Linked DNA regions of Danio rerio. The protein of the gene in region 2 binds, or shares a complex with, the protein of the main gene of each other region. Links are inferred from orthologs where the notes say so. Each region holds a gene or a part of one and is shown on either strand. Other genes may lie near its edges.

Region 1 (4,193 bases), on a different chromosome or scaffold from region 2:
ATTATCAGCTAAAGAAGTTAGTTATTTCAGATAACGCGCGTCGAGCGCAAGGAAAAAAAGTGAAACCACTCAGGCTTCAGACTGGCTCGTAAAAAAACTACGCGGCACAGGGTAAATCTGCTCTTCTCCATGGCTTTGTGGCTGTTTAACAAGACGGCGACAGGGTTTGTTTGAGCCCGGATCGACTATGGCTGCATATGTAGATATAATTTTGTGTAATCTCTCGCTGTGTATTTTAAACATGGCAGGTCCTTTGTTTACATTCTGGCTTGTTGAGTCTACAAATGACGTATCTCTATTAACCAATAGCATTCAGCTGCGCATGTAGCTCCACCTTTTGGGACCCTTTCTGCAGTTTGTGACCCTTTCGAAAGGGTGCCGAAAAAGTGGTACGGTACGGTTTGGTTCGGTATGCCTTTTGACAGTGGAAATGGCCATAAAAGCGTACCAAAACGAACCGTACCGTACCACTCAGTGGAAACGGGCCATAACAGTGCCTGGGGTTTAAATGGTCTTTCGCCTGTTTTTACGCTTTTATAAAAATAAGTTTTAAAAAAATGTAAATTTGTGTAGACTTGGTGTTTTAGACATGAATAGACTTGAACTTGTTTCGGTTTGCCATTGCACAGGGCTAAAGCGACACCAAAATACTTTTTTGTTCAAACCTTAATATTGTTCATGTTTATAAGTGTGTTCTCCAGAAGTACATAATAAGCTTAGAAATTTGAGATGTGTGTAATTTATTTGATTTAACTCAACTATTAGATTTAGTTAAATAAATCTACAGTAGAATATAGATACTACTAGTAATATGACTAGTAATACTAAATTTGATTTTAATCAAAAGACTAGGAATAAAAATGTAATCAAAATATGCTGTTAAAGTGAACAATGTGAAGAAAACAACAAAATGAAAAGAATGGATCTAGATAAGTCTGAACACATTATAACCTAAGATAATACCAGGTGAAAATGACCTTCTGCTGACCACTTGTGATCAGATCATTGAAAAGAAGTTAATATTGCTATGCTGCTGTGAATACACTTACCTTTACTTCTGTTCTCTTAAAGGCCTGGAATGAACCTGTCGTTTCAGGTTTTGGCTTTAGTTCAGCTTTCTTGACTAGCGGATCTTTCAACAAAGGTACTGTTGTTGCCAAAGCAGGAGCTGGCTTTTGTGGTGGTTTCTGAGTCTTTTGGGCCTGAGATATTAAAAACACATAACAGTTAATATTTCATTATTATTTCAGTGATACGCATAAAATTCATTGTCATACACTTCCCACCATTCGTTTCATTTGCCTGGTGCACCGAGCACAGTACCACACCAGTCGCGGGTCATTCACATCCTTGTCAGTAACCTGAGGTTTGTGACACTCTTGATGATAAAGATTATGACATTCTTGACACTCCACAAGCTGATTCCCAGAAGTGACGGTCATTTGTCTGAGAGAGGAGAAATATAGATACATTTCGAATTAAAATGGCCGAAAATAAATTAAAGATTCAGAGAACATCAACGACATCAGTGTAATGACACAAAAAAAAAAATCCAAAAAAGTTTATCTAACACTCACAAATAACATCAAAAAATAAATTATCATTTACTCATGCTTTACTTGCTCTAAACCTTTAGTTGAAGTATCTTTCTTCTGATAAACATAAAGAAAGATACTGATGAATATTGAACAAACAAATGAATACAGATTTTTATGAGTAAATTAATGCCTGTTAGTAAACAACAATAGTTGTGTGTTTTTGTAACTTTTAACACACTCACATTCCCACTACATATAGCTACTTATTCGAAGAAAACTCCATCAGAAGTGGCATCACTCACCGACAAACCACACAAGCAAGACCCATTTCCATGGCAAAGTCATCAGCGTTGGTTTCATCAATATCTGTGAAATCTGGAATGGGAATGTCCTTGGTTTGAAAAGCAATCGGAGAGGAATGACTGTCCTGCTTCTCTAAACGAGGTTTCTTAGGCGGCTCCACTCCTTCTCCAGGATCAACCCTAATCTTTAAATCATACAAATATTCAAAAGTGAATTATGCTGAGAATTTCCAGTCATGTCACATTTACAATCATAAATGAATATTAGTGCAAACTGACTTTTTCCAAAGTTCTTTTCTCGCTCTCTTTCTTGGACTTCTCTGAGGTGCTTGATTTACTGCTGCTGGTGGTGGTGATGGATGATGACGCTGAGGAACTTGAGGAGGATTTGGAGTCTTGTTTTGTCATTTTTGGCAATGACACTTTGCTCACTTCAGCTTCCTATTCAATGGATAACGAGTTAAATATTTTTTTTAAAATCTACTAATAAAAAACAAAAAAATAATACCTTCTTGATTTGATCACCTTAATTGAATTCCTATAGATGGAGTCACTGCCTCTGGCTAAAGACTCATCTAGCAGGGCCTTGAGTTTCTCTGCCGAGTCTTTGCTCTTGGAGTGAAGATACCCCAGTCCCTTCAGAAAGATAGGGTCTAACTCTAGACTTACTGTCCCAGCCATTGTTTAGCGATTATTATCTAATTTAACATAAGAAAATGACCCGGCCCTCTACTTATGGAGTTTACGATGTTATATTCTCGGATAACACTAGAAAAGCTTCATTTCAGACTCTACAATATCTAGTCTTTCTGAGCTAACAAAAGCAACATGAACTTACTGACACCGGATTGTGCTCAAGCTTTTGTTTAAGGAACGTTTTTATAAACCGTAAAAAAAAAACAAGATATTATCCTTAGCAGAAATTAACTAACTTAGCAATGCTTGAAATGATCCGACTATAGTATCGAATTAAAATAGAGCAAGTAGAAAGAAAGCGCTTGAAAAGTATGGGGACCTCAATAGGGCGTGGCTTAGTGGCCATGAGGTTGTCTCTAATTGGTCGGATGAATCTGTTTTCTGTTTTTGTGCTAATTTACATTTTAATTTATCTCTCTTTGGCATGTTTTAAAAATTGTTTGTAAAAACAATATTTATTTTAAAAAGTGTCCTATTTAAACTATTGCTCACATAAAAGATGAAGCAACACGCCAACGGTTTTGTCACGTGATAGTTGTTGTTTTTCTTACTGCTTGTCAGTTCTTATTGTTAGATTAAAAATAACCTGTTGGTGAGAATTATGTACCAAATTATTAGAAATTAATGGACTTGCCTTAGACACATGTTTTCTATTTACTAACATTTGTAAATTTCTTAAATTTCTCTGCAGGATTTTGATGGCTTGATAGCGCTTTGCATTCTGAGCCACCAAGTGCCCCCTACTGGATAACTGGTGATCATAATGATGTTTGCCGACTGTTCTTTTATTTCTTTCTAATGACGCTTTTGTGTTTCTACTAAATCATACCGACATAAGCGCTTCGTTTCCGCCGTCATTTTCACCAACAGCACCTCGACATGAAATTTCAGCCTGCAAATTATTTTAAAAATATCACTATGTATTAATATATTAAAATCATCAGGAATGCGAGCTTATCAACCAGCTTAAAAATCATATCAGCCGGACACTAATAAATGTAACACAAGGAAATGCTACGTAGTGCGTAAAATTGAAATATCCTTGACCAAATAGGTAAATAACGTCTCGTAACAAACTCTCAAAACCTTATTGTTCTATAACCATCCAAGACCATTTATTGTGCGAATTTAACGGCATATCTTGCCCGTTATGGCGTTGTTGACAGGGGTCAAAAGAATGCGTTGTAGGAGCGTCATAATTGTGTTGTCGAGTGTAAGAAGCTGATTGGCTGTTCTGGTGTGACGGGGGTTCTTGTCCCAGATCGCAGGGGTTAGACAATAAGAATCCAAACAGCAGCATTTACAATAATAACACCGCATAGATGCTATTTCTATCTCTCTGTGGTTTCAAGTAGCTGGCGCTGTCACTAAAACAGCTGTTCTAAATATATCAGACGAATCGAATAATTTTTCAGAATTATTCAGTCACTTAGACCAATCAAATACATCCCAGAAAAAAGGTAAGTGCCACACATCTATAGGTCTTCTAAGCATTTTGTTGATTTCGACATGCTTCACTTCTATTTAGTCTAACTGGATTCATTCTGATCAGTCATAAATAAATTTGTGTGAATGCGGGTAATAAAGGTTGATTGTGACGCTATTGACAGATTTCAGATTGTAAAGTTAAAATGCTCAGTTTCTTTGTTATCTAATT
Region 2 (3,653 bases):
AATGTTTGAAACCTGTGACTTCCACAGTATTTGCTTTTCCTGCTACTGAAGTCAATGGTTACAGGTTTCAATGGTTACAGGTTTCTCTGCTTTCCTTAAAATATCTTCTTTTTGTGTTGAGGAAAGAAACACATAAAGGTTTACAACCACTCAAGAGTGAGTACATTTTCACGTTTGACTAAACAATCCCAAATAAGTAAAAAGGACACTTTATGTCCAAGTAGTTCCACTGTTCTTTACCTGCTGTCCATTGCGAATGAACAAACTAAACCATGTGCGCACTTTTCCATTGGTGCCTAAAAGCAGACCACTGACGTATGACACCAGAGGACTGACCGCCTCATCTGCCATGTCTGGCTTATAATCCAGTGTCAAAGCAACGCCGAGGCCTGGGAGATGACACTCTTCCACCTGTAGAAGGACAGAGGGCTTGACTTCAGTACATCACGTTGCTCTGATCACTTTAGCTGCAGTCTAATACCAGGCATGACAGGTGGTCTTCGAGCCGGACACTCACCACCATGGCCCTGATGTTCAGAGCCTGAGACGGGTTCATCTGACACAGCTGCCGGAGAGCTTCTGTCCTGCGGCGACCACCAACACTCTCCTCGTCCTGCCGCTCTCCGTTCTTTATCAGCCCTCTGCACACTGGACACACAAGAGGAAAGAGTTTGGAATAAATGTACTGCTTTTAAATGACATAAAAATATAGTTTCATTACATTCATTTCAGTTCAAAGACTATTTTAAAATAAAATTCATGCTGGCCAAAGATTAATCCACTTTATCGCATCCAAAATAAAAGTTTGCTTTAACATACTTTGTGTGTTTTACGTAGATATTTAAATGTATATATAAATTTTATCATATAAACATATTTCATATCAATGTAAATAAACTTCATACGCATGCCTGTATGTATTTATATAAATTTATATTAATTGCAATTCACTAATTAAAATACAATGAATTAAACAACTTAAAACTGACAGCAAATAGATAAAAATTAATAAAATATTTCACGTAAAATAAATGTTTGGTAAGACTTTTAGTACAAATTCTCACTATCATTAAGCCAGTGGTTAATGACCTGCTTATGAATACGACATTGGCTTTTTATAAGATTTTTTAAAGTACTCTGTAAAACCCAGTAAGTAAAGGTAACTCAAACAATTTGAGGAAACCAATTGCTACAAACATTTGTTTAAAAACTAATCCTAATAAGTAGTGTGAACTTAATCCGTTTAAATCAAACAATTTAAGCACAGTAAAACCCAATAAATGAAGAGAACTCAAACCAACTGAGTACTGTAAAACCCAATAAGTTAAGGCAACTCAAACCGAATGCTACAAACCATTTGAGTTAAAAACTAATCTATACGAGTACTGTGAACTTACTCTATTTAAGTTAAAGTAATGAGGTATTAATTAACTCATTACCTTCAACACTGAGCTCAAAACTCTTTTCAAATGAGTAGAATAAACCTTTGGTAAGTTTTGAGTTAACTACACTCATTTCATTTGATCAAGTTGATTGTTGGGTTTTACAGTGTATATATTCTGCATGATCTTTTTCTACATCCCTAATCCTAACCTTTCCGCTTTGTGGAAAGCCCTTATATGGAGCTGGTATTGACGTGTATAATAAAAAAATACTAACGTTGTTCACTGAGAACAATTAAAAATCACTAACAGAAGAACAAATACAAGTTAACTACTAGTTAATAACAATTAATAAGCAGCAGATTAGGAGTTTATCGAGCTAAAAGTCACAGTTAATGTTTTGTTATTAGCAAGAACTGTACCTTAAAGTGTAACCAAATTATCTTTCAAACTTTCTATCACTTTTAAAGTTTAATATTTCATAAAACATTTTATTTTATTTTCCGTTTGCTGATCCTGATACTGACTACTGATTTCTTCATCATGATCAGTCGATACCAATTATGATCTTTTAGGCTTTTTATAAGTGACATGTGAGCTCTTTGTTGACTGTTTTAAAAGGCCTTTAAATTCAGGACTTACACAAATTACACAAAATCCATATTAACTAACAATATAACCATATAACTAGCCTAGTGTAAGTTATGCAAAAACTCTCATTTTGATAATAGCTGTGTTGGGGCATTTTTTAACCCCTCAACATTGAATTTGTGTGGCGCTGTTGTTAATTTTTTTCCCACTGAGACACATTGGGTCTCATTCACTAACCATGCATACACACAAATCTATGAGTGACACTAGGGTTGCACGATATTGGAAAAATCTAACTTTGAAATATTTAGTTTGAAATATTTTGGCTATATTGGGAAAATAATTTTATCCACAGCTAAACATACTACGTTATGGCTCAGATAGGAATAAATAATCCCCACAAACATCTTTAAATAAACGTTTCTTTATTTGGCTCTGAATTAAGCTCTGGCCTTGAATTAAAATAGCTGTTTTTCTTTTATTCTGTGATTTTAACCACAGATGACAGCTTGCCACGCAGAATGATTAGAATTACAGAGAGCCTTTTATAACCCAGTGCAGGAATGATATTAGTTTCAATAGTCTCTTATGAAGAAGAAAAAAACAGCTGATTGAGAGAAAACGCAGCCGAGTCCGTCACAATTCATCCTGCATCTGATTACAGTGTATCTCTATAGACAAGCTCTTTCCCTTAATGATTCAGCCTTGAGCAGAATATTCTCCCAATGAAAGATCCTGTCTAGGTAATGAGCCTTGAGAATTGGCCATTCAATAATATGAAACGTTTCAAACTGGCTCTGAATGGAGCCTCGCACAAATAAGCTATTGACTCAACAAGGACCTGGGAGTGATGAAAAGATAGCAGAGACTTTAAAATGTTTTTATTTCCACTTAGTGCGTCTTTGAGGAAAACCCACATATACACATAAAGAGACACAAACGCCCCCAAGCCCAAACTGCCCATAATCAGCAGCCGAACTCATCAAAATGGAAATTCGCCACCTCTGGATGATCGTACAACCGCCACATAAAGCAGATCAAATGTAAAGTAAACCCAAGTTTCGCGTGGCTTTATAGTCAATGGAGAAAAACGCAACACACTGATTTTGGTACGTTAAAATTAAATTAAATGTATATATAACCCTGATCCAAGACTCACACACATCTAAATGACTTTATTAAGACAATCTGCAATTTAATAAATGTAAACTGAAAATGACAGATAACTATAAGATGCCGTCTTTAAAAAGTCATTAAGTAATTCTTTGGGTTTAAAACAGACCTGGGCATTTACGGCCTGCACGGACTTCTTTGATTGGCCCGCATGAAGTATTTATTTATTTTAAATTCAACCGCAAACAGGGCCTTACAATGTGCAGGAATGATATTACGAGTCAACAAAAGGGGACTTTTAAATAGGTTATAGCGTCTTTTTAACGAGCAGGTTCATTGCGAAAATAGGAAGAGACACACATGGGGTATGCCAGGCTCATGTTTTCCAGGCGCCACGAGTTAAAAACCCCCAAAGCATTTCAGAGTGCCACGAGTGAACCACGAGTCATGTGATAGGAACTAACCAGGCAGCTTCACACATTGTATAGAAATTAATCCTGGTTTATACTTCTGTGTCAAGTAAGCGGCGTGACCCACTGCGCATGCAATGCGCATAGCCGTGCATTT
Region 3 (4,315 bases), on a different chromosome or scaffold from region 2:
GTGTCAAAAAGCGGACGAGTCTAAAGCAATGACTGTACAACCGAAATGTTGCCAGACGTCTGATTTTGAGAGGATGGGCCATCCTCTATATCAGCTCCACTCATCTTGGTCTGCTAACATTACTGCTGCTGCAATCTGAACTCACGTGCGACAGCAGGTGGAACGTAGCTCACGTGCAAACAGCTCAACTAATAAGAGAAAACGGACGTCATATCGTAATCAAATCGTCATAACACCACGATGCATAGAGACATTTTTGCATTGCAATAAATCGTACAACGATAAATCGTTACATCCCTAATCACGATATATTTTGGTAATTTTCCCCCTAAATAAAATTTAGCCAGATCCGCACAACATACCTCTAAATAAATAAGGGTGCTGACGTATGTAGCCTACCTATATTTAGCAACCCTATTTAATAGAGCGGCATAACAGTGCTAGTCACATGGTTGCTTTCACTTTTATGAACATGAAAAAAACTAGTTTCGGCTATTATTTAAATTTAATTGAACAAAGGGAGCTGTTTACATTGCGTTAACCAAGGCAACTACTGATGCGGTTTGTGTAATGTTTTTAAAGAGCTTTGTCGCAGCAGGACAGTGGAAAATGAAACCGTATCCGTCCTGTCTGGCCTGGTTTGGCACGGAATGGAACGGTTCTGCTTAAAGAACGATTCAGCACGATAGTGGAAAAGCAGCTATTGACAATTTTGTTACCATATCTAAACTATTAAACATGACATAATTCGTATGTATTTATATGTGCAATTACCCAAGTCTGAAGATATCTGCCAGCTTCAGGAAGGCAGAGTTGATGAGGATGGGGAACGGGTATTTCTGGAAGAGTTTGGGAAAAAGGACCACGGCTTCACACTGCTCGCCCAGTTTACAAGACCGTAAACCTGGAGCAAAGACAAAATCAGAAGTGTGTGAGTAAAAGGAATGATTCACGCTCAAATATGTATGTTTTTTATTCATACTCTGTAAAAATGTTGGGTTCCACAATAGCATGAATGGATTAAGTTATATTATTAGATTTTACAAATTTTAGTTGATTGAATCTAAAACAACTAAGTGTTCCCAAAATAAAACTTAACAATTGTGTTGTTTCTGTTAATTTTAAATAAATGAACAAACAGCATACATTTGTCAAGTTACTCTATAACGATGGTTTGTTTTGTAGACTATCGGAAAAATATATAGCTTAAAGGGCCTAGTAATTTTTACCTTAAAATGTTTCTTAAAAATATAAAAACTGCTTTTATTCTTACTGAAATAAAACAAATAAGACTTTCTCAAAAAGAAAAAAATATATTATCAGACATACTGTGAAAGTTTTCTTGCTCTGTTAAACACTATTCTGGAAAAAAAAAAATAACAATTCAAATGGGGGCTATTAATGCTGACTTCAACTGTATTGCTTTTTTAGTGTCACATCCTTTGTTTGTTTTCTAAACCCATTTCAGTTTTATTACTCTGTCGAACACTAAAGAAGATATTTTAAAACCTGAACCACACTGTTCCAGTTACTATGACCATTTATGTGAAGCTGCTTTGACACAATGTACATTGTAAAAGCGCTATACAAATAAAGCTGAATTGAATTGAATTGAATATTTTGAAAAAAGCTGTAAACCTGTAACTATTGACCTACATTTGTTGTCCTACTGTGGAAGTCAAAGGTTACTGATTTTGAACATTGTTCAAAGTATCTTCTTTTGTGTTTGCAGCATGCTTTTTTATATAATTTAAGCACTTTTCAGATGCACATTTTTTGAATGCATGTGTATGTAAATGTGTGGCATATTACACATTTACATACACACACATGCTTTATTACATTTTATCAGATTCTATTCATAAGATTTTTTTTTATATGAATGTCATTTACTTAAATCTTAGATGTATCTAATTTCATCTTATACTCAAGGAGTGCAGACAAAATAAGATAGAAGGCAGATCATGCTACAGGCTTATGTACAGACCCCAGATTTTCATTTTATGCACAAGCAATGAGAGTTATTATACTTTTATTTAAACAGTAATTTTCACTGTTATTACCCGTTTAATAAGACAGGTAAAGTTGGTTTTATATTCGTACATTTGTTCATTGACAACTTGTGACACGCTCCCTATAGCGTTTACCATGGTACTTTGAATATTCAGTATAAAATCACATGTAAGTGTGACTTCAAAACAACATAAGCACAATTTTTTGACTGTAAACAATGTTGTACGTTCAGTAAGATCAATGATTATGAAAGCAATGCAATTACTTTCCAAGCACTTCATCCATAATCTAAGCACTTTTTAGACCTTAGTAGTTTAAAATTAAAGCATTTTATCACCCGTGTGGCGTGTGCAAAGAAGAAGAAACTCATAAAAGTCAAACTACTTGACGGTTGCGTAAATTCTGGATCTTTCCATAACATATGTTACATCCCTAAAACATTCTGTAAAAATGAAAACAAAGCACAGTATAGACTAAAGTACAGTAGTAGCCTACATAATAAAATTATAGAAGAGCTTTTTCATGCGAACAGATACAATGTATGATATTCAACATTAAAATAGCACACACACACACTGCATCAAAAAACAAATACACGTGTGTTGTTTATAAAGAGCCACCTTTATCGAGCTCCATCAGCGCTGAATTGGCGTCCAGCTCCTGCTCGCCGTATGCCGCCTCCGAAAGAAACGAACGCGCTGCTGAAAGCGACATTGTTTATTATTAGACTGCAAAAAATGTAACCCGATAGACTGCTCTCGGATTTAACACTTTATTTGTTTTATCAGATGGAGATTTTGTGCATTAAGTTTGAAGTGTGACCCGGTTGTAAAGCAGGTCACGTGACGCACAACGCCAGTTTCGTCGTCGGGTTTCCGTTGCGCTACAAGGAACGCTAGAAGCGAAAGCGACCCAAAGAGGTGACCAAAGAAGGCGGGGCTTATGAGTCGGCATTTACCCTGATTAGTCTAAACCTCTGCTCAGCTTTTAGGCTCTTCATGCTATCATAATTTTTATTTAATCATTTGCAAAATTATATATATATATATATATATATATATATATATATATATATATATATATATATATATATATATATATATATATATATATATATATATATATATATATATATATATATATATATATATATATATATATATATATATATATATATATATATATATATTATTGCTTGCTATCAGAACAAAATCCAAAGGATCCCAGAGATCACTTTAAAATGATCAATAGTATACACAGTCATAAAAATTATCACAAACACATACAAATAACATATCATTAGACTGAAAGGGAAAATATTAATAATTATAATATTAATAATAATAAAATTATGATAATAACAAAATTACTAAATTAAACAAACTAAATTAAACAAATGAATGAAATTACAATGACACTTAAACAAATAACCAAAAGGAAAGCAACTAAACTTAAGCATCTCCTACATCTGTATAATATTTCAGGAATTTTAGGGTTTTTTATTCTTAATAAGATTAAGTTTTTGTGTTTCTGTGGCGTTTACATGTTCTTCCAGTGTTTGCGTGGGTTAAAAAAATATATGCTGTAGGTGAACTGGGTAGGCTAAATTTTGTGTGTGTGTGTGTGTGTGTGTGTGTGTGTGTGTGTGTGTGTGTGTGTGTGTGTGTGTGTGTGTGTGTGTTTGTGTGTGTGTGTGAATGAGTGTGTATGGATGTTTACCACTTATGGGTTGCAGCTGGAAGGGCATCCGCTGCGTAAAACCATATTCCGCAGTGGCAACTCCAAAACAATAAAGGTACTAAGCCAAAAAGGAAATAAATGAAATAATGAATATATATATATATATATATATATATATATATATATATATATATATATATATATATATATATATATATATATATATATATATATATATATATATATATATATTGTTAATGTTAATGTTAACCCGGATTTTTTTGGGGCCACATGGCGCCTCTAGTGTTCGCAGCCATTCCACTCCGCTCGCAGTGGCTTAACACTTCCTGTTTCCTGACGTGTCGACCAATTAGAACACTGTTCGTCCATCTCGCGGGGAATTCGTCTTCAGCGCTTTTTCATTGTTCGCGGGAAACTTACCACTTCTGAACGCGACTTGCATCCTGCAGCGATGACTCTTTTTCACCATGTTGTTGATCGAGGGGCTAAAAAAAGAGGACGAAATGGTGAGTTTGCTGAATATACGTTAACCTAAACCAGCGTTATTACACTATTTACACTGAAATACTTTGTAATAATCAGGTGAGCAGCGGCTGTTTCC

What was found.
Region 1: ints2 (region 2) and ints12 share a complex: the UniProt entries of both Homo sapiens proteins name them as parts of the integrator complex. The link is inferred for Danio rerio from reciprocal best matches to the Homo sapiens genes INTS2 and INTS12.
Region 3: the proteins of ints2 (region 2) and ints7 are in contact, whole or in part, in a cryo-EM structure (PDB 8RC4), measured with the Homo sapiens proteins. The link is inferred for Danio rerio from reciprocal best matches to the Homo sapiens genes INTS2 and INTS7. Residues at the interface, in NP_065799.2 of Homo sapiens: Gln27, Lys28, Val29, Cys48, Arg51, Met52, Cys55, Ala56, Ala58, Asp59, Gln60, Ser61, Trp64, Phe92, His93, Ala186, Glu187, Pro189, Ile194, Val218, Asp220, Ser221, Asn223, Glu224, Ser259, Leu262, Lys263, Arg265, His285, Gly294; in NP_056249.1 of Homo sapiens: Leu38, Gly39, Glu40, Cys42, Glu43, Val46, Arg47, Asn77, Phe78, Leu81, Cys82, Leu84, Lys85, Gln88, Gln89, Asn114, Asp115, Pro116, Val117, Ala120, Ile121, Arg124, Val153, Glu156, Val159, Phe160, Ala163, Leu195, Lys196, Pro199.

The regions. Positions count from the first base shown.
Region 1 is NC_133176.1:28,088,550-28,092,742, forward strand, and holds the start of ints12 (integrator complex subunit 12), read right to left. Parts: upstream 2,826-4,193; 5' UTR 2,522-2,825; coding exon 2,366-2,521; intron 2,282-2,365; coding exon 2,120-2,281; intron 2,026-2,119; coding exon 1,841-2,025; intron 1,447-1,840; coding exon 1,287-1,446; intron 1,203-1,286; coding exon 1,050-1,202; intron 1-1,049. UniProt on the Homo sapiens protein: Component of the integrator complex, a multiprotein complex that terminates RNA polymerase II (Pol II) transcription in the promoter-proximal region of genes.
Region 2 is NC_133185.1:32,939,421-32,943,073, forward strand, and holds part of ints2 (integrator complex subunit 2), read right to left. Parts: intron 649-3,653; coding exon 518-648; intron 412-517; coding exon 241-411; intron 1-240. UniProt on the Homo sapiens protein: Component of the integrator complex, a multiprotein complex that terminates RNA polymerase II (Pol II) transcription in the promoter-proximal region of genes.
Region 3 is NC_133195.1:14,373,803-14,378,117, forward strand, and holds the start of ints7 (integrator complex subunit 7), read right to left. Parts: upstream 2,826-4,315; 5' UTR 2,728-2,825; coding exon 2,634-2,727; intron 905-2,633; coding exon 775-904; intron 1-774. Other genes in the region: dtl (denticleless protein homolog), read left to right, coding at 4,166-4,220, 4,297-4,315. UniProt on the Homo sapiens protein: Component of the integrator complex, a multiprotein complex that terminates RNA polymerase II (Pol II) transcription in the promoter-proximal region of genes.